Astyanax mexicanus: one gene and its partner. The protein of the gene in region 2 interacts with the protein of the main gene of each other region in a biochemical or structural test. Links are inferred from orthologs where the notes say so. Each region holds a gene or a part of one and is shown on either strand. Other genes may lie near its edges.

Evidence for each region. The genes of interacting proteins can lie anywhere in the genome.
Region 1: the proteins of rps6ka1 (region 2) and tamalin interact in a test that uses a peptide from one of them, tested with the Homo sapiens proteins (2 studies listed by BioGRID and IntAct). The link is inferred for Astyanax mexicanus from reciprocal best matches to the Homo sapiens genes RPS6KA1 and TAMALIN.

The regions. Positions count from the first base shown.
Region 1 is NC_064420.1:44,915,243-44,926,404, reverse strand, and holds the start of tamalin (general receptor for phosphoinositides 1-associated scaffold protein), read left to right. Parts: upstream 1-6,800; 5' UTR 6,801-6,839; coding exon 6,840-7,061; intron 7,062-11,162. UniProt on the Homo sapiens protein: Plays a role in intracellular trafficking and contributes to the macromolecular organization of group 1 metabotropic glutamate receptors (mGluRs) at synapses.
Region 2 is NC_064421.1:34,847,589-34,858,816, reverse strand, and holds the start of rps6ka1 (ribosomal protein S6 kinase alpha-1), read left to right. Parts: upstream 1-5,988; 5' UTR 5,989-6,175; coding exon 6,176-6,391; intron 6,392-10,012; coding exon 10,013-10,129; intron 10,130-11,228. UniProt on the Homo sapiens protein: Serine/threonine-protein kinase that acts downstream of ERK (MAPK1/ERK2 and MAPK3/ERK1) signaling and mediates mitogenic and stress-induced activation of the transcription factors CREB1, ETV1/ER81 and NR4A1/NUR77, regulates translation through RPS6 and EIF4B phosphorylation, and mediates cellular proliferation, survival, and differentiation by modulating mTOR signaling and repressing pro-apoptotic function of BAD and DAPK1.

The DNA.
Region 1 (11,162 bases), on a different chromosome or scaffold from region 2:
AAACCTCTTCTCTGGTACAATGTAGTTCATCTTTCCAGCATCTAAGAGCTTACAAATGTCTGAAGGTGCTTTTCAGGTTTTTTTTTGCACGAAACATGAAAAAAGACTTCATGGGTCAGGACTTTACTTGATATAACACAGTGGATCAACACCAGCAGATGACATGTTTTTCCAAACCATCACTGATTGGTGGAAACTTCACGCTAGACCTAAAGCAGTTTGGACTGTGTGTCTCTCCACTCTTCCTCCAGACTCTGCTCCCTTGATTTACAAATGAATTAAAAATTTTACTGTTGATCAGTGATGGTTTGGAGAGACATGTCATCTGCTGGTGTTGATCCACAGTGCAGTGTTTTCCCAAAAAATATTACGGCACTTTATGCTTCTTCCCCCAGCATGACAACTTTTAATGGAGATGCGGATTTCATTTTCCAGCAGGACTTGGCACACTGCCCACACTGCCAAAAGTACCAATTGGTCTTATATAATATTCTAATTTTCTGAGACACTGATTTTTGGGTATTCTTTGGCTGTAAGCCATAATCAATCATCAAGAATGACAGAAATAAATACTTAAAATAGATAATTCTGTGTGTAATACATCTATATGATATGAGTTTCACAGTTTGATCTGAATAACTGAAATAATTTTCAATGATGTTCAAATTTTTGAGATGTACCTGCATACGTTGTGAGGCGTTATCTTGTGAGTAAGGTTGAACAATGTGTATGCATGGTATTTAACATTTCTCACTCCACAGTGTTGTGTACCGGGAATGCACCATAGCCCGGAAGGCTAATATATGGCTAATATTAACACCCACAGTGGATAGTGCAGCACAGTAAGTAGTAATGATGGTGACCGGCAGTGTCTGGCTAGAATTGTCCATGTGAACAGACAAGCAACTCTGGTAGAAATCGCATTTCTCCACATTCAACACCCCCATATCCCACAAGGTAAGTGCAGCTCTCTTTAGCTTATATGGGACATAGCAAAAGTCATGGGACACACTACTAGTTCAAGTCCCATAACATTTAGCATGTGAGTGTATGTATTGGTAGTCCAAATGATTTGATTGGATGTGTCACAAACTTAATATGTGCCTTTGTATGACTTTGAATGACTTCAAAGGTCAAGAAGACAATGTTAATGTCATCAAGTGATGGAGGAGTGGGTTGAAGAGTGAAGATGATCAAATGTCATGATCAGATGGATAAAAAAGAAAGTAAGCAGATTAAAGAGCACTGAGAACTGGTGGGACTTGGGTGTTTGGAAATGTGTGTAGGGAAGATTCCAGCAGTGGTGGGCAGCAGCAGTGAGGGATGTGTGTGGTTGATGTAGTATAATGAGTGGGTAACACACAGGGGCCTTTCCTGTGCTAGACTGGGGTTTGAGTTCCTGGCTGGGTAAGAGCACCACACTATACATTGTGTACAACACCAAAGCATTGCTTTCTTTTACCGGTGTAACACGCTTTACATGTAATTTGCTCTGAAAAAATGTAACAATGTGCACCATCCAGGGTTCCTAGGGTCATGAAAAACCTGGAAAAGTCATGTTTTTTGAAAATAGCAATTCCCCAGGCCTGGTTAAGTTTTGGAAAAATAAAAATACCTAGAAAGTTTTGAAAAAGTCATGAAAATTTGGTCAACAAATCTATGTTTTCGTTTATTGATGCTCAAATACGTCAGCTCAGAGTTAATTCAGCAATTTAGCCCTACACAATGGAGCTCTCAGGATCTGACACACATTTTATTATTAAAGATTGTGTTTCAACATTTTTCTAAGATTAATTTTAGGCCTACTATAATCAAATTCGATTATAGTTTTAGTTGATTTTTGGTTTTATTGTCCATGTCTGCACTGGTGTTTTAAAAATCATGTGGTCATAAAAATTTGCCTTGAAGGCATGGAACAGTCATGAAAAATAACTGAAATATATTGGTTAAAATGTGTATGAACCCTGACCATCAAATGATTTTAAAAAGAAAAAGGTGGTTGGTGTGGTGCAATGGATAACAGTACTACCTGTCTGCCAGTGAGCTACAACCACATGTAGAGGAGTGGGGTTCAATACCCACTCTGGTGACAAAACAGTGTGCCAATAGTCCTTGGGCAGACTCTTCTGTAATACCTCTATAGGACATGTAATAAATGCCAGAAATGTAACTGTAAAGTTTATTGATTTTTTTTTTTTAATCAAATTAGTGCATTACCAAAAGTTCAATATTACTAAATACAAAAATAATACATATTGTCATGCTATAAACGTACAGTATGAATATAGTTTAGAGTTTAATGTCTGTAGCTAAATCATGTGTATTAATTAAAGGCAGCAAGCTACTTATAATTCTTATCATAATTATCAAAATGTATTCTCAACTTTGTTTTTATCAAACTAGTGCATTACCAAAAGTCTAATATTATTAAGTACTAAAATAATACATATGGTCAAGCTTATAATATATATATATATATATAGTTTAGAGTTTAGTGTCTGTAACTAAATCATGTGTGTTAATTAAAGGCTGCAAGCTACTAATAATTCTTATCATAATTATCAAAATGTATTTTCAGGCTTTTATCAAACTAGCGCATTAACAAAAGTCTAATATTACTACATACTAAAATAATACATATTGTCATGCTATAATCTTATAGTATACATATAGTTTAGTGTCTGTAACTGAATCATATGTGTTATTTATAGAATAACTCATAGTTATTCTGTCACCTACTGGACTATGTATTGTTATTGAGTGTATCGTGTATATTTTTATACTGTAAAGCTATCTGTATATCTTATTTTATATTATATTTTATTTTATTATTCTTCTTGTAAATATTGTTCTCTGCACATTAGTGGGAATCTGCACCCACGTTTTTCACTCACATGTACACCTGTACTGAATCTTCAATCTTTAGAGGCTGCAGGCTACTAATAATTCTTATCATAATTATCGAAATATATTCTCAAAAAATATATATATATTCATTTTAACACTATTTTAACAACTTTTTTTACTTTCAAAGAAAACTGATAGAATTTTAAAGCACACGTGACTCTTCCCAGTGCTTTATTTTGATCTGAAAACAATGAACGTGTCCAAAATTCAGTGAAACAAAAGAAAACAAAAACAATGATGCTCCACCCACCGGCCAATCATATCGCTCACTCAGCTCACAAGCCACGCCCCCTCAGTGAACCCGCCTCTGTTGTAGTGGCTCCGCCCCCTCCACATGGCCCTGGTCCTAAAGTTAGAGCAGTAGTGTGAGGGGAGCAGTCGCAGAGGTGAGGAGTGTTCAGCGGAGAGAGCGGAGTGCAGAGTGATAAAAGAGTGATAGAGGGAAGATTAAACGGGGGATTGGAGTGATCATCACTCGCGCGGCAGTGTGTGTGTGTGTGTGTTTGATCAGATCATGAAGAATATGACTTTCAGGCGGATCAAGAAGCTGAACTCCAGCGAGCCGGACGGAGGCTCCTGCCCGGGCAGTGGAGATATCTACTTCTCCTCCTCCAAATCAGACAGCTGCAGGAACATGGAGAGACCAGCCAGCTCCTCAGACATCTACAACTACAAGACCCTCGCTTACTCTGGAGGAACCCTGCCCAGGAACTTCAAAAAGGTAAGAAACTCTATTTTCTGGAAGCTCAGCTTATTTCTCACGCTCTGGAGACCATGGGTTTTTGCTCTGGGCTGTAGGTTGCAGCTTCTTTAAAATCTAAAAGCTACTACTTTAAGTGGATCGGTGTTTCCCAGCAACTCTGGTTCAGAATATCCTCCAGTCCTTTGAGGACCATTGGTTTGCATTTCTTTGATATCTTTTTTTTGTACTCTTCCCAACACACACGTTGATCACCCATGGTCTTCTCACATGTTGAAGGACATTGGTTCTTCTCTGGGATGGTGGCAGTAGCTAGCTTTATTTTGAAGCTGTTGTGTTCTTTAAAGACTTTAAGACCATTGGTTCCCAACCCAAGTTCTGGATGAACTCCTTCTCCTGCACATTTAAGTGTTCACTTAAATGGCTTGTTGTAATACTTTAGGTAGCAGCTTCAAGTTCTTCAGTGCAGTGGTCCCTGTGCCTGGTCCTAGTGGAGCTTTAGTATTTAGCATGAACAACACTCATGATCTTCTTACAAATTAAAACCCATTGGTTCTGCTCTTGGTTGAGGATAGCAGCTTCTTTTAAACCTAAGATCCGTGGTTCCCAGCATCAATGGTTCTGAATATTCTCCAGTCCCATGAGGAACATTGGTTTGCAATTATTGTTTTTCCTTTTTTTTTTTTTTTTACAGTTCCCAACACACCTGCTCATGATCACACCTTAATTTTGAGAGTCTTGGTCTTCCAACTCCCATGGTCTTCTCACATGTTGAAAGCCATTGGTTCTGCTCTTTTAAAGCTGTTGTGTTCTTTAAAACCTGTTTAAAGAACTAAATCATGTGTGTTATTTCATATCATAATTAATATAAATTCTTTAAATGATCAGAATTAATCACTTTTAAAAAGTAGAAAAATAAAACTGTCATAGAGGATTTTGAAATCTATTGGTTCTTCTCTCATGCTAAGGGTCGCAGCTTTAGACTCTTCAGTGCAGTGGTCCCCATGCCTTGTCCTTGTGATTCTTTAGAATTTATTCTGATCAACACTCATGATCTTCTTACAAATTAAATATCATTGGTTGGTTCTGCTCTTGATGATAGCAGCTTCTTTTAAACCTACTACTTTAAGATCAGTGGTTCCCAGCATCTTTGGTTCTGAAGAAGCTCCAGACCTATGAGTGCCATTGTTTTTTTTTTTTTTTTTTTTTTTTTACTACTTTAGACCCTTTAGCTTTGTGGTTCACAAGCTTGCTTATGGTGGTCCTTTAATATTTACTCTGTTTCCAACACCCATGATCTTCTCCATTTTAAGGAGGGTAGCCAAGCGTAGCAGCTTCTTGTACAGTTTCAGATAACACATTTTGCAGACTCCTCACGTTAGAGGTGCTTGTGGTCCTGCTGTGTTCACCCTGCTCTCAACACCCATGGTCTTATATTTTGAAGTCTGTTGGTTCTTCTCTCTGCTGAGGGTAGCAGCTTCTTTTACAACTTAAGATAACACATTCTGTAGACTTCTCACATAAGTGCTTCCCAACATTGGTACTTGTGGTCCTGCTTTGTTTACCCTGCTCTCACGCCTTGGTCTTCATATACAGTATATTGAAGCTTATACAGCATTTCTAGACTCCTGTGATTTCTAGACTTCTAGATTCCTGTGCCTAGTCTTGGTTGTTCTTTTGTATTTACCCTGTTTCCAACACACACAGTCTTCTTTTATATTAATAGCCATTGGTGCTTTTTGTTACACAAGGTAGTGGATTATTTAAAAACACTTTAACACTTTTTCTAGACTCTTTAGGTCATTCGTTTCTAGCCATAATTCTGAAAGACCTCCATTTATACAAAGAATGTTGGATCTGCTCTATGCATTAGAAAACAAACTTTGGGATTGTAGGTCCTGCATGCTCCCAGCACCCATGGTCTTCTTACATTTTGAAGGCCATTGTTTCTTTTCTCTGCTGCGTGTAGTAGCTTCTTTTACAACTTCAGACAACTCTGTTTAAAGGCTCTTCTGGTCCGTGGTTCCCATGCCTAGTGCCTAATGTTTACCCTGCCCCCAACACTCCTGATCTCCTTGCTTTTGAAGACCATTGGTTCTTCTCTCTTCTGAGGGTAGTAGCTTATTTTTAAGCCTTTGGTAAGCACCTGTCGTAGACTCTTTAAGATCACTTGTTCCCCCACTTGTTTCCAACTTTGATTCTCTCACTACTGACTAACTGATTAAACAAGTGGATTTGGGTGTGGATAAAGTTGCTCTGGTTTCAAGTCTGGTTATGGAATACCTCTTGTCATATACATTTCAATGTTTTTTTTCTTTCTTTCAGATCAGTGGTTCCCAAGCCTGTTCTTGGTGGTCCAAGTGTTTGCTTTGCTCCCAGCACCTGTGGGCTTCTTATATTTTGAAGGCCATTGGTTCCTCTCATTGCTGGGGGTGGTAGCTTCTTTTAAAACTTGAGGTAGCACTATTTCTAGACTCTTTAAATCAGTGGATCCCAACTCAATTTGGAGTTTACCCTGCCCCCAACACCCCTTACCATCTTATAATTTGAGGACCATTATTTTCTTGTTCTCTTTATAACCGTGGTTTCCAATGGTCTGTGATATATTTTAGAAAATGTGGTGGTGTAAAAATTTGTTTTTTTTCCCACAATTTTCTAGTTTTCATTTATCTCTATCACAATCTGAATTTCAAGAAATATTTTATTTCCCCATCTGATGATATAATCCAACCTACTTTTGTTACAAGATGAATATCGCAAAATTGAGTAAAGCTTTATTTTTTTTTATTTGCATTTTGAGGGGCAGAATTGAAAAACTAGAAATTTGGGCAAGCTTATAAATAAGCCCCCGGAAGAATTTGTAAACAACAGACTCTTCCAGAGTAGAAATTGGATTGTTTGAACAGGAACCCACTAAAATGTGCAAGGCAGAGCCATGGTTGGGACCATTGCTTTGAAATCATATTGGGATACTGGCTTTAAATACCGCTATAATTGTCATATTACTGATTATCAATTAAGTTCCACCAGACTTTCTAATAAACTGGCACATGCAGATCATCTATGACCAAAATAATGTTATGTGACATTTTAATCTTCAGATTAATTGTCTAAAATTACCCCCTACTGCGAGAGAAGCTGAAGTGAACTCTGTTCTTGTTAAGCTTCTATAAACAGCACTGCTGAAGTGCTGTGATTAATTAAGGTTGATTAGAAACAGTGGTCGGTGGTGATGTGGCTGCTGCACGCGGCTGCTGGTGAATGCAGCAGCGGAGTCAGCACGTGCGTTTGGACACGGTCGCAGTTGGCTAGTTGTAAACGGCGCGTGGCATGTGAATCGTTTCTCACCTGCGAGCTTCCGCGAGCTTTTTTACACCTGCTCACACCTGGTCTGATATTTACATACGTTAGGAGCACTGCACGAGACCTGCTTACCACTAACTGCCCACTCAAAGTAGGTATAATAATGTATTTCATTCTGAGTGAACAAACACTGTGCGTGTGTGTGGTAACTTAAATCAGTTTCTGTATAAAATATCAAGCTCTTTATCTAGGTATTAAATGAATGAATGAATAACTGGCATAGACATAAAAGCTCCCTGTAATGGACATCATTCGTTAACACATGCTGTATATATTGTATATCTCACAGACTAAATTTCATAGCTGCACATTTATTCACCTAAAATTACAGAACTATTATAAAATATGTAATCATAATCACACCTGCCACACGTTATTTTTTAAAGGAATACCTACACTCCATAATATATTTTAGTTACAGTAATAGCTTTTATTATTTAAGTATATTTCAATGTGACTTGCTGTGGGGCTTTTAATTTGAAGCTCAAAACGGCGGATTAGAATTGTATTGACTAACAGCTGGCTAAGCGGCGTTGCTAACAGCTAGCTAAGCGACGCTGGTAACAGCTAGCTAAGCGGCGTTGCTAAACGGCGTTGCGAACAGCTAGCTAAGCGATGCTGCTGACAGCTAACCTGGCTAAGCGGCGGTGCTAACCGCTAGCTTAGCAGCGGTGCTAACAGCTCAGCGGCGGTGCTGATTAGATGTGGTATGTTCACAGCTTTTTGATATGTGTTTGATGGTACCTTACTCTGGTCCTCAGTTTAAAGGTGAGAACTCCAATTTACTTCATAACAAGCATAAAAGATGGTCAGTAGTTCGTCTCAGTAGCTAGCTAACCTAGCTAACTCTTCTATTCCACCTTAAATGGAACAGAGGAGGCATTAATTAAGGTGGAACGGAAAAATAAAATCAAATAAAACCCATTGAAAACTTAATTCAGCTACCCCTCACAGAAGAATTAGGAAATAGACAATATTAATTAATTGCTGCTTCATCTGCCCCCTTGCTGAAAGTGATTCCAGAGTTTGTTGTTGATAATTATCATACTTAAAAATGCCCAAAATTTCTTTGTAAATTTTGTGAAGAGTTTGTGATGAATTGGCCAAAAGAAATGCTCCAATGATATAATGATACAATGTCTTTTTTCTGTGCTTATTTATGATTTTATACGTGAATTTAATGGTATACATGCATATTGTCATACTTCTATAATCAAAAAACAAGTCCTAAATGTGCTGTAGGGGTGTATGTTAATATAGATGCAACAAAGTATCACAGTATTATGAGTTGCAGTTCTAAATTATATTGGTTCTCTAAAACACAGTATTTATTGTTATTTATTACACGGACGATTGGTGTCAGAAGTGGTTTGCTGCTATTCTAGTGGGCAGGATTTAAACGCAACACATGTGTTTAAATCCTGCCCACTAGAATAGCAGCGCCAGTGATGTACTCAGATTTCACTGTTATAAAAGTTTCTTTCTTTCAGCTTTTATAAATAAAAAAAAATAGTATTTATACTATGGCAGTTTATCTACAACTGGATTTGAGTAATATACATTGCATTATATAATTATATCACAATATATTGAGTTATAACCCCTGTATTGTGTCTCTGGAGGCCTCCAGTTTCACAACACGAAGCACTTCACTCACAGGAGCCATTCATCTCCTGAGCCGTGCTGAGCTGGGTGGTGTTCTCTGGGAAATAGTGGTGTAATTTCCAGCACTGTTACAGCACACATGGTCACTTACTCACTGTTCTCTCTTCTCTTCTCTTCTTTTCTCCTGGGTCCACACATCTTGAAGGACGTTCATGGTCACTGATGGCGTTATGGGGTCTAGACCACCCACACACTCTGCTCTTGACCAGAGACTCTGACCCTGGGCTGGTCTGACGCACTGTAAGTGGTCAGTCGGATCCTGCACATTACAATGGGCCCCCCTGTGCGGAGTACAGCGCTGTACTGTGCGTTATATGGTGTGGATTTGCTTTGTTGGCGTCATTAGAAGGGTTTGGCTCGTCATTGCACTGACCGTGGGTCAGGGTGGTCATTCCTGTGGCTTGTTCAGTGAGGGGATAAGTGTCCAAAGCTCAAACAAACCACTTTGTCCCATTCGTTCTGTCTGATAACTGGAGTGTAACTTCTTGAAAGAGTCTGAATTCAGCGTGGCTTATTGTGCTGAGTGATCCGGGCCACTGTGACCAATGGAGATGCCTAAGTAGCTCAGATAGAAGAGAGAAGAACGGAGAGTGTACCTTCTTTGCAGTTTAGAGCCGTATTCTGAGTCTGAATGCAGTGGGACACCTGCTTATTTAATTGTTTTGGTCTGATATGAAGGGTTTAAAAAAAGGTTTATATCCTGTTTTTGTTGGAGTTACTGTCTCTCCTGTCCATGGAAGGCTTTTTTTAAAATCGATTTTAGGGCATTGCTGTGGAGATTTTATTTCATTTAGTGTAACAGGAACATCAGAGGTCAGGACATTGGATATATCAGTGTTTCCAGTTTCCAACCAAAGAAAAATAATTTCATTTTGAAGAATATCTATTGGTACCTTGGTCCATAATAAAATGGGGATGCAATATAAAGAATAACAGTCAGATTTAGGTGGTTAAAAAGTAGAAAAACTACAAAAATGGAGATACAAGAATTTTGTGGCCGTGAAAATATGTGTCCATAATTTGACCAATCTTTGTTTTTAGATTTTATATTAATGATAGTGATTCACATGCAACCACAAAATTACTGGTAAAAGTTGGGACTACTTTTTTTGGCGGAGGAATTTATCTGATTATATTTGGAACAGTATACAAAAATAATTGTATTGCAAAAGGTCGTATAAACCCAGAAGAGAGTTTAAGGTCATGCTATCGTGAGTAGCATCACAGCTTTGATGATATAAACAGCCGGTGTGTGTCTGCGGCCGACTCACAGCCTTGATGCTACTTCTGATAACAGACAACTGCATACAAAATGTTGCTCAAACATGCAGTGGCATTGAAATATGTTCTTAGGTAGAGATACTACATATCTTATAACTCGTATCTCCAAAACGGCGACTTTACAGTAGAAGCTGAAGAGCTTCTTATCTTTCAAAGGAAGTCAATGTAAATACATTCAATTCCAGGTGATTTTAGAGCATTTCTATTGGTCCATTTCTATTGAAATTTGGACGCAATGGTTTGAAAGTTTCTCAGATTCACGATTTGTCAAAAATAGGCCTGTTACCGATACTTTTTTTTTTGTTTGGATGCTGTATTGTCTCAGAAATTATTGCGATAAACAATTTTTGCCATTTAAACCCTTAAATGTCCTTGTTCTAATAAAAATATGTTGTTTACAGTAATAATATAAACTGAGCTCAGTTCAACATCTTCATTATTTAGATATACATTGACTCAAAGGTACAATATCGAACTGTTGAGGTGAAGTTAAAGGGTTAAACCAATTTAAAGCCACTGATATGAAATGACAATATAATAGCATAATGCATTTACTTAATTTAATTCATGATAGTTTGTGGGATGAGAGATTTATACTTTTTTCCTCACTCTGTGTGTATGGAGGCTCAATTATTGCTGTATTGGTCACTATGCTACTGGTAAAATATTGGTAAAATGTTAACTCAAATATTGTACAATAAATCGATATTGTAGTTATTGTGGCCGACCTAGACAAAAAGTGATTTGTATTGAGATAAATAAGCTATGATCTGAGTATAATGTGGGTTTTATGACTATAAACATCATGAGGTTCATGTCTTCATGAGGTAGAGTCACCTGGAATAGTTTTCTCAGCGTCTTGAAGGAGTTCGTGGAGGTGCTGAACAATAGTCGCTGTGAAGCTCCAGCTCATCCCACACCACCTCAAATCACCATCTCAGTTTATCAGGTTTAGATCAGGGGATTGTGGAGGAAAAACATATATATATTTTTTTAAATGTTTAATACGTAATTCTATATGTCTCCCTTAATTGTTTTCATGTCTTAAATATTAATCTACACTGAAAAACTTTGAATGAGAAGGTGTGTCCAAACATTTGACGGGTACGTATGACTTTACAGTAAATTTTGCTGGACACCCGTTACTGGACACTGGTTGGGCGATTTATGAAGAGCCTCCTGTATCCCACCTCCCACACCCAAACCAGCCCCCTGACCACAACAGGGTATTATTGTGTAGCTAACG
Region 2 (11,228 bases):
AGTTGAGTCTGAGTTAAGGCAGAGACTTTGTAGCAGTTAAGACAAAGACTTTGTAGCAGTTTAGTCTGAGTTAAGGCAGAGACTTTGTAGCAGTTGAGTCTGAGTTAAGGCAGAGACTTTGTAGCAGTTAAGGCAGAGACTTTGTAGCAGTTGAGTCTGAGTTAAGGCAGAGACTTTGTAGCAGTTAAGGCAGAGACTTTGTAGCAGTTGAGTCTGAGTTAAGGCAGAGACTTGAGCAGTTGAGTCTGAGTTAAGGCAGAGACTTGAGCAGTTGAGTCTGAGTTAAGGCAGAGACTTGAGCAGTTGAGTCTGAGTTAAGGCAGAGACCTTGTAGCAGTTGAGTCTGAGTTAAGGCAAATACTTTGTAGCAGTTGAATCTGAGTTAAGGAAGAGACCTTTTTTTCAAGCCATTTTCTAGTAGTAGTCTAAGAATCTGACTTAAGACTGAAACTTTAAAGCGGTCATGTCTGGGCAAATCAAGGCTGAGTGTTTGTGAAATCCTGGACATTGGTTTGCACGTTTTACTTTGTACTTTTTGTCAGAGTCTTTTATCACAGTAGCCTGTGTAGTGGTTGGTTCCAGTCTTTATTATATCATATTTTTTGCTCTATAAGGTGCACTATCAATGAATGTCTATTTCCTGGTCTATTTTCATACACAAGGTACACCAGATTATAAGGCTCTATAAAGAACTTGTAATTAAGTAGGTCTTGCCACTGGGTGATGGTGGGGGGGTAACTAGGTTAAGGAAAGCTAAGCTAAGTAAACAAAACTGTAATAGAAAAAAGACTTTCTTTTAAAGTCAAACGAATGCTTGATGTTAATCTACACAGATGGCTACAGGCCAATAATACTCCCTCTGAACGGTGAAATAGTGGTTAGCAGCTAATGCTAATGCTACTCCAATGCCTGAAACATTAAACTGAAACTCCTGAATAACCCTCAATTTGGTGTCTTTACTGCTCCTTACAACCTGCCTGGTAGAATTCACACATTAGAGGCACTGGATTAAAAGGCGCACTGACAATTTTTAAGTGCACCTTCTATTATAGTGCGAAAAATATGGTAGTCGTGTCCAGAGTCAAGTTTAAGTCTTGGTAAAGGCAGAGACATTGTATTTGATTAATCCGAGTCAAGGCATGTTTTGTAGTATTTGAGGTTAAGTCGATGGTTAGTCCTTATAGTTTTCAAAGTCATGAACAAGGTTTGGTAGCATTCGAAACTAAGTTAAGGCCCAGACTTTTAACAATTAAATGAAAATGATTAGTGATAATCAAGTTTTGGTCCAGGCCTAGTAATTGTACAATTCTGGCAAGCACTGGATTCTGATATACTACTAAAGTAGTGCAGTAAGAGTATCTGTGACTGAGTCCTCTCCCCCCCTCTGGAGCTAAACTCGATGGTGTAAGAGCGGAGAGTGCATGTCGTTGTTGATCTGAAGCTGCTGTGTTGAAATAGCAGAAGGAACAGAGGAAATTTCACTTGAGTCATTTTTACATGATTAGGCTGGACTGTGCGTGTGTGTGCTCGTGTCTCTATGTGTGTGTGTGTGTGTGTGTGTGTGTGTGTGTGTGTTTAAGGGTAGTTGGTGATTGTTTTAGTAGAACGAGTAGCTGTTTATGAGCTTTGAAAAGTGGGAAACAAAGTTATGCAGTAATGGTGAGTTGTGTGTGTGTATGCGTGCGTGTGTGTTTGTGGCATCATAGTGACTTCATATTTTTTAGCTGTAGGAGTTAAGACAGGAACTTGTAAATAAAAGACACTACATAATCCATAGTGATATTAATAGTTATATTAATATTAATAGTAATATTAATATATTAATATTAATAGTAATGTTGATATTTTAAAATTCATAATACATACTGATAAAACTTTAGCATATTTAATTCATAGTGGATACTGAATGATTCATATTTGTTTCTAAATTATTCATTGTAAATAATGAATACATTATCAGTGGATGCCAAATGATTTGCACTGGATACTGTAATCACTAAATAATTTGTAGTATATAATATAAATCAGTCATAGTGGATACTAACTAATACATAGTCATAATCATTCTCCTCCTACATTGAACAGAAGCAGTCAGAGATCACGTGGGTGGAGAAAGACTTCTCCAACATTCGACAGGTAAGAACTCACCTGGAGCTTTCAGCTTAGACTCTGTCTTTTCTGCTGTAACTGAGCTACGAATTTCAGCTACTAACCTGCTGCTACACGCTTTTTGAAGATACTACCAAATTTTCACACTATAAGGCGTACCAGATTATGAGGCGCACTATCAATAAATATCTATTTTCATACATAAACCGCACTGGATAATAAGGCACATTTTGTGACACTAGTAAGGAATAAGGGTGTCGCCATGTTTACCTTTAAATTCAACAGGTCTGTCTGCTGCGTGGTGAGACCTGTAAAGCTAAGCTAAGTAAACAAAACTATTCTAAAAAAAAATATATAATAATAAAAAAAATTCAGTCATAAGTCCGTGCTGGATGTTAATTTCCTGAAAACTGTTTATTTGTGTTAGTAAAGCTTGTGCTTATTTACAGTAAGCTTAGATATCCACATTTTTACAGCACTAAGGACTGGAGCATTAGCATTAGCCGCTAACCGCTAGTGATTAGCTGCTAATGCCGCCCGACAGAACCCTGAGTGTTCCGGTAAGTGCGATATTAGCTATCGTCCCACGTAGCTTGTTTTAACACTGTAAACATGCAGTTTACAGTCAGATATACTCACCTTTAATCTAATGCTGTGGTAAGTGGATAATGTTAATTCTGCTTCTGCAGTGCTAGCGTGGGTTAGCAGCAAGCTACAGGCCAGTAACACTCACCTCTGGTCGGCCAACAAGCTAGCACTTAGGGCGGTTAGTAGCTGATGCTAATTCTAATGCTGGGCAACTAAACTGAAAATTCTGTTTAACACTGAATTTCAGCGGAGTGGTTTTAGAGTGTGGTTTGGTTTGTTTAATTTTTATCCCCAGATGCTATTTGGTTTTTCCGTTTTTTTTTTTTTCAGTATTGCAAGTCTTAGTAATTTTCTTTGGTCATGTGGAGTATTTCGTTTCTTATCTTTTTTTAATTTGTTAGATTATATTTTTGTCAACATTTTTGGGTTTATTTTCGTTTGCTATTTTTCTAATAATAATAGTAATTACATAATTAATTTTCTTTTGTTCATTTTTTTACTGGGAAAGTAACGCAATAGTTACTTTTACTGGTAACTAGTTACTTTTATAGTGGAGTAACTCCGTTAGTAACTCAGTTACTTTTTTGGAGAAGTAACTAGTAACTATAACTAATTACTTTTTCAAAGTAACGTGCCCAACACTGACAGCTGTCTGATTTAAAACGCTTGCCAGATGTGACCTACCCAGATGTGATCACTATCTTGTTGAAACGCAGTGAAAGCGTACCGCAGTTTGAGCGCATATAATTACTTTCTCAGTGGAAGTTGGGAATATGAGTTCCTATAGTAGAGAAGCATCACTATAGTGTATGGTGAGGTGGAGCAAGTCAAACGCTGTCCAACACGTACTCTGCATTATTTATTGATAAGAAAGAGGGAGAAGTTGTGAGCGGACACTGTAACTGCATGGCAGGTTCGCAGTGTGAAAAATGAAAGCAGGCGTGTTTACTATGGAGGACCAAAAATGACAGAAGTATAAATAAATAAATGTTTAAATAAATAAATGAATAAATAAATAAATGTTGACATAAATAAATGCACATATAAATGAATAAATAAATATATAAATAAGAAATGTATTTATTAATTTATTTACCTATACAATTATTTGTGCATGTATTTATTTATTTATTCATATATTTTTTTATTTATTCATTTATATGTGCATTTACATATATATTTATTAATTTCAACATTAATTTATTTATTCATTTATGTATTTATATATTTATACATTTCTATGTGTGTTTATTTATACTTATGTCATTTTTGGTCCTCCATAGTTTACTTGTTTAAAGAACAATTTGACCTGATTTTCAATGTTTATGACTCTCAGATTAGGTGAAGTTTGCATTCATGTTAAATTATGTTAAAGTTACGTCCACTGTTTTGAACGCTCTTTACGGCTAAACGGAAGTGTCCTAGGAACAGCTACGTCACTTCCTACGCTCATGAATATTCCTCTGAAACGGTCTATAAGATGCACTCACGATTTTTGGGAAAATAAAAGGATTTTAAGTGTGTCTATACTTCTACATAGTGATACAACTCCTGCTTCCGGACTGCAATAACAAAAACTGGGTTTTTTTGTATATTTTTTGGGGGGAGCATTCTGTGAAAACCCTTTTAAGGGAACTGGTTGAATTGTAACACAGCCTCTAATTATTATACACAGAGAAATGGTGCCCTCTAGTGTACAGCACTGCTGTAGCATTAAGTCTCACTTTCTCTTGTTCACTCTACCCTAAACTTTTAATCTCTCTCTCTCTCTCTCTCTCTCTCTCTCTCTCTCTCTCTCTCTCTCTCTCTCTCTCTCTCTCTCTCTCACTTTCTCTCTCTCTTTCTCACCTTACTCTTTTTCTCTCTTTCTTTTACAATCACCCTCACTGTCTCTACCTCTGTCTTTACCCTCTTTATCACTTTACCCTTCTCCTCCATCTCTTTCTCACTTTCTCTACCATAACTCCTCAGTCTTTTTCTTTTTTCTACTTCAATCACCATCATCTCACTTTCTCTCTCTCTCACTCTCTCTCTCACTCTCTCTCTTCATTACTATGTGTAATTATTTGTTCTTTCTATCTTTATTCTCTTTCTTTTTTACATCTTACTCTTTTTCTTTTTTGTGATTAAGGATTTGTATGGGGAGCAGCAGACGGGCAGAAAGAGTGAATGCAAAATAAAAAGGAGCATGAGTGACAAATATCTATGGGCACAATCTTCACAGATAGAGATAAATAGGAGAAAGTGTCCGTATTCAAAGCATACTTTCCAAGAAAATCCAAAATATTCAGCACAAAAGTCTGTCATGTTTTAACAGGGCTTAGCATGGTGAAGTCGAGTTATGGTACATTCAAGTTTTGCTATATTCAGTAGATTAAACACCCAAAATGATTCCATGTAAAGGCCAGGTGTAATCCAGTTTTGTAGAATTGTCTCTTTAGCAGCAGTAAATCCAGAGAACAATAGCTTGCACTGTATCATCTTCAACTCCAAGTTGGAGTTATCATTCAGGAGACAAAAGCATGGATCCCAATTGTATTCTGTTTTAAGAATATCAGACAACACTGTGTTCACATATCTCCAAAATTGTATAATTACAGGACATACCCAGAACATACGAGAAGCAAAGGTGTTACATTTATGGCAGTAATAGTACATTTGAATTTTAACCTAAGGTGGTAATAGAAAGGGGGTTTGTAGAGGCTTGTGATAAATCCTAGCAACACATCCTCTTAAAGGTAAATGAGGTTGTATCTATTTCACCATTGGATGAGTTGCTATTTGAGAGCCCCTTGGGCCCATATATGCTTTGAGTGCTGATCTTATATGCAAATACACAAAATAGGTAGAAGATGGCAGATTAAATGTAACCTTAAATGACTGAAAAGAGTGAAAACCTCCATCGGTCAACGGTCAACCACAAACGTTAATACTCTCTTTTACAATCACCCTCACTCTCTCTACCTTTGTCTTTACCCTCTCTACCACTTTACCCTTCCCCTTCATCTCTATCTCACTTTCTCTACCATCACTAACTCTGGCCTATTTCTTTTTTCTCTGTCAATCACCATCATCTCTCTCTCTCTCTCTCTTTCTCTCTCTCTTTCTCTCTCTCTCTTTCTTTCTCTCTCTCTGTCTCTACATATCTAGCTTATTTTTTAGCATTTTCTCTTACTTTCTTTCTTTCTCCATCTCCTGTATGTTTCTTTCAGTTCAGTAAGTTTCTCTATCTCTCTCTCTCCCTCCCCTTCAACCTCTTCCTTCCTGTCTAACTACATTTCACATCCCTCGTTCAGGCTCTCACACTCGCTCTCGCGCTGCAGCAGTACGAGTTGTAGTGTGAGTTGTGTGAAGCTGGGCGAGCGGTAGTCAGTTAGTGTTGTGAGAGAGAGATGCCGAGGTCCGTCAGATTAACCATAGCAGGAGGCAGATAGAGGAGGTGACTGTGGGAACCCCGGACTGGTGGAGAGATGAAGAGATGGAGAGAGAGAAAGAGAGAGGGAAGTTTAAGCTGAGGCAGGTGCTCACACTCTACCTGTTTAAAAGACAACAGCGGAAAGCGCTGACTAACGGCGCTAACGACCCTAATGGCTCTAACTTCTGTCCACTGGTGGAGGCCAATAGCAGCACAGCTGCCACCGCATCATTAACTGCATCCAGCACCGCTTCAACATGCGAACAGAGGCAGTGGATGGTCAGTACACAACATGCACGCACACAGACACTATTACATAAGTCTACACTCTCTTAAGAGTTAGTGCTTCTTTAAGGGATGCCATAGAAGAACCAATTTGGTTCCATAAACAACCTGGTTTAATAAAGATTAAAAAGAAGAACCTTATGGTATAGATGGTAGAAATTAATTTTATGTGAGGCAACACCTGCTGTCCCATTACTTTTGGCATGTCAGCGTAGAAAAAAAAAACTCGCACCTTCCAAACATGGTAGAGGAAGTTTTGTACACTGTTACTGTAATAAAAAAAGATCAATGACTATATTTAAAAATATTGTCTTACACTGGTCTAATAGTTTAGTGGTGTCTTGCTGGTATTGGACTGGTTCTGATACCTGGTCTTAGATGGGTTCAGCCTGTAGTGTTGTGTGATTAGGACTGGGTCAGGGCAGCTGTTAGTTTCGATGTGAGAGGAGGAGCAGTACTGAGATGTGATGAGGATGTGATCTGTGGGTGTTTACGTCTTTTAAAAGGTGTCAAACACTCGACTCAAAGTGTAACTAAGTGGAGGTGGTTAATTTTAATGTGATATCAGCACAATTAGAAGGAAAACACACTTTGTTTGGCGTGACTTGGCTGCTCTCACTCTGTTTTCTCTATGGCTGCCTGTGTTTGTATATGGGTAGCGGTAAGTGGCAAGTAAAGGTTCAGTGCAGTCAAACTCATTAGCAATATTAACCAATAATGCAATAATATGAAAAAAATCAACAAAACATAACACAAAACAACGCAGGTGACCAAGTCGAGGTAATAGTGTTAAAAAAAAATCCTCAGAGCTGGAGGAACAAACCTTGGTAGGACTCACTTTTTTTTTTTGGTCAAACTAAACATAGCACAAAGTTTTGTGTTTTTTCCTGTAAAAACACTTTTTTTAAGTTTCTGGTGCCATTTCTGCCTGACTGGCACCTGATTGGCAGAACCTGTAAGAAATTGGCCCTGCGGCAGTGGTCAGAAGGTGTCTATGCGTTAGGAACAACTTCAAGCTGGTGCTCTGCAAAACCAAGCTGAGGCTTCATATGGAGTAAGCCCTGGAATAATTTATACAGTCATATGAAAAAGTTTGGGCACCCCTATTAATCTTAGTTCTAAATATTTGGGTGTTTGCAACAGCCATTTCAGTTTGATATATCTAATAACTGATGGACACAGTAATATTTCAGGATTGAAATGAGTTTTATTGTACTAACAGAAAATGTGCAATATGCATTAAACCAAAATTTGACCGGTGCAAAAGTATGGGCACCCTTATCATTTTATTGATTTGAATACTCCTAACTACTTTTTACTGACTTACTGAAGCACAAAATTGGTTTGGTAACCTCATTGAGCTTTGAACTTCATAGCCAGGTGTATCCAATCATGAGAAAAGGTATTTAAGGTGGCCAATTGCAAGTTGTTCTCCTATTTGAATCTCCTCTGAAGAGTGGCATCATGGGCTCATCAAAACAAAACATCAAATGATCTAAAAACAAAGATTGTTCAACATAGTTGTTCAGGGGAAGGATACAAAAAGTTGTCTCAGAGATTTGCAAAGGTAAACTAAACCTGCATACAGGAGTCTGCAAGATATCCCTTAAAAGTCTCACTCGAATGTGTGACGGTTTAAAGCTTTATCATATATATTCAAGATTCAAAATATGTGTGACTTCCTCATTTGCCTTATTTATCTGGAAAACTGTTGCACAGACAGTAGCGTAAGCTAGCCTGTTAGTAGTTAGCCTGGGGCAAAGGTGTTAGCAGCAAGCCTGTAAGGGGCTAGCATGTTAGCAGTTAGCCTATTAGCGGTTAGCCTGTCACTATTTATTTAGATAACTGTCCTGTTGTCCTGTTATTTTTTGTCTAAACGTTTATAAGTAAACAGCCTGAATGTTGTATTTAATAAATTTTCTGTTAAAAAAATAACCCAACATTTAATTATTTTGCAGCCATGTAAACATAGGACTTTAAGCAGTTCCTGCAAATTCCTGTCCCATATAATAGCATATACCACAGTAATGTTTTCACAAAAAAAAAGTGATATTGCCCAACCCTTATTGTGTTAAGATATTTAAATTGGTCTTGTTTGACTTGTTTGAAATGTACCAGTAAGGCTGGGGTTTTCAATACAGTGTGGTGCAAGATTTACAGTTAATTTGTCCAGTAAGTGCATCTGTAAAGCTGGGTATTCCAGTGGCTATTAAGGGCAACTGTAATGCTGGGTTTCCAAGTCAGTGGCCAATAAGGGTAAATGTAAGGCTGGCATTTGAAATAAAGTGGCCAGTAATCGTAGCTGTAGAGCCGGGGTTCTGATAGACAGCCTGTGCTGGTGATAGTAAAGTAGTGTGTATTTAAATCCCTCTGTACAGCGAGATTATTTTGAGTTATTTGACACTGTGGTTTAAATGGTGAAGTAGGCTCGTTTCCCGTAACTGTGCTGCGAGGTGGAGTTCCTCTGCTGGTTCCTGTGTGTGTGTGTGTGTGTGTGTGTGTGTGTCACCGCATCTGATCTCATTTATTATATGTTATTTGTTATATTATATTATATGTTTCTCAGAGCTCTAATGGGTGTATTAATAAAGACTATCCAGCGGAATTCTCTGCTGAATGATGCACATGCACTCAGAGGATTTTTGTAGCGAGGCAGAATTTAGCACAATAACTGGAAAGACAACTTATTACATTGTTAACACAACATGCCCTTCTACAAACCAATCAGTGTCAGCACACACAGGTGAAGATAACTGAACACAGCGCGCAGTTCTTCAGTTTGTTGCTGAACTGCAGTGTGAAATCAAAACTATCTGGACCTAATGTAAACGATGCATACAGACTGTGATTCGCATACTGGTCCACACGTTCAGGTGTAAAAAAAGCCCTAAATATGCACATGTTTATATTTTATACTCCCATTTCCCACCAAGCACCTGTGCTTCATTTCACCTAAAGGAACAGGTTAAACAATCTAATACCAGTTGACCAGACTTATTTGGTCCACAATGGGAGATGCTAGGCTAATATTGCTAACAAACACTGTCACTATTCTCTTCTTGCATGCTTTTGGTCTGGTCTTAAGAAGCGGGAGGTGCTTCTGGTGTCACACAGCTCCAAACCGCAGACTGCAGCTGATAATCTGACTGGTGATAATGGGGGTTTCCAGGCTGATATGCTGTTAATGTGAATAAGAACCTATGATGCTGGTTCCATGAATTAGATCATGGAAATTGTGATGTTAATCTGGACACAATGAAGCCATGAAGTGATGCAGTAGGGTTTTTTTTGTTTGTTTTTTTTGGGGGGAAACTAGAGATAAGGACTTTATTATATTTTACATTTTAAATTTGGGCTTTAAACTGTCCTTTCATTTTTATTTTGGAGTTTATTCTGTTTAAAATTCTGGCCTCTCTCTTACTGTTCTCTTAATTTTTATGTTTATCCCTATTATGTCCTTGACTTTTGATATTGTAATTTACTTTGTTCCTTATTGTTTTATTTTAAATCCTGTGTCTAGGTTTTATTAAATTTTTATTTGTTTCCAAAATAATGTTGAGTTATTAAAATAAAGCTTCCTTTATAAAACCTAACCAAAAATGTGTCCTTTTGCAGGATGATGATGTCATCAAAGAGATTAACATCACACATGTGGTTAAAGAGGGGGCGGAGAAAGCAGACCCATCCCAGTTCGAGTTGCTCAAGGTGTTGGGCCAGGGGTCTTTCGGCAAGGTATGAAAACACACACACACACACACACACACACACACACATTTCTATATTATACTAAACATTCTCTAAACAGTTTTAATTATAACCTCCTAATGCTTAATATGCAAAACCCATCCCCATGGCCATCCTCTTAAAATCTCGATGCAGTCATCAGCCATGGTGCACTGAGCACCATTATAAACTCAGTACATCACAAATTATGGGCAGGGTTTTCAGACTGGTCAATTTTTTTTTATTTGACTGTCAGGTCAGAAATTAGATTTCTGGACATGATGTGAATTTGTGTAGTTAAAATTATTTTCTGATTTCTGTTCTAATCATAAATCATTCCTAACCGTAATCTTTATCATGACCTTAAAATAAAACAATATGATGATGATTACCTAGGCCTGTCGCTATAATTACCCTATTGACTTATTGTATTATAAATAAACATTATTTCAATGGGTTTTACTCCATTCGATATTGCCCATTACATACACATGCCTGTACTTTAGCGGATATTGTTTTTAGCCACTGTAGCAGGCAACACACACACACACACACACATACAGACACATACACAAACAATATAGTTTTACTGATGCTGTAGTCTTTCATATCATTTAATCAGGCGATACCCTGATATCTGTAACTTCTGTTCAAATGCAAGTCAGACCAAACCTCAGTGCTTTAAGTGCACATCGTCTGACTCCACATGCCCTGTTCTCATTGAAAACATGTGGTCAGTCAGTCAGTTATTTACCCTACCATACTCAGTCATCCAGAGCTTCCGTGGACCCAAAGCCACCTACCTGATCTACACTCCAGCACTGTGTTTAAAAATAATAAATATTATACAAATAAAGTTTTTAAGCCTATCCAATTAATGTTAACGTAATTGATCTGCTTTGCCAACTTTATTTAAATAATGTTTTATTTTATGTATTTGTGTAAAATATTTACACATTTTTATTTATATATTTTCCTATTTTTTCTAAGAATAAACCTTTATTAATCCCTCAATGGGGAAATTTGCATTTATTGAAATAAATCCTGGGAGAATATATTGTCCATTATCATGACCGGCCTAATGATGATCAGCATTATTTTTAAACGT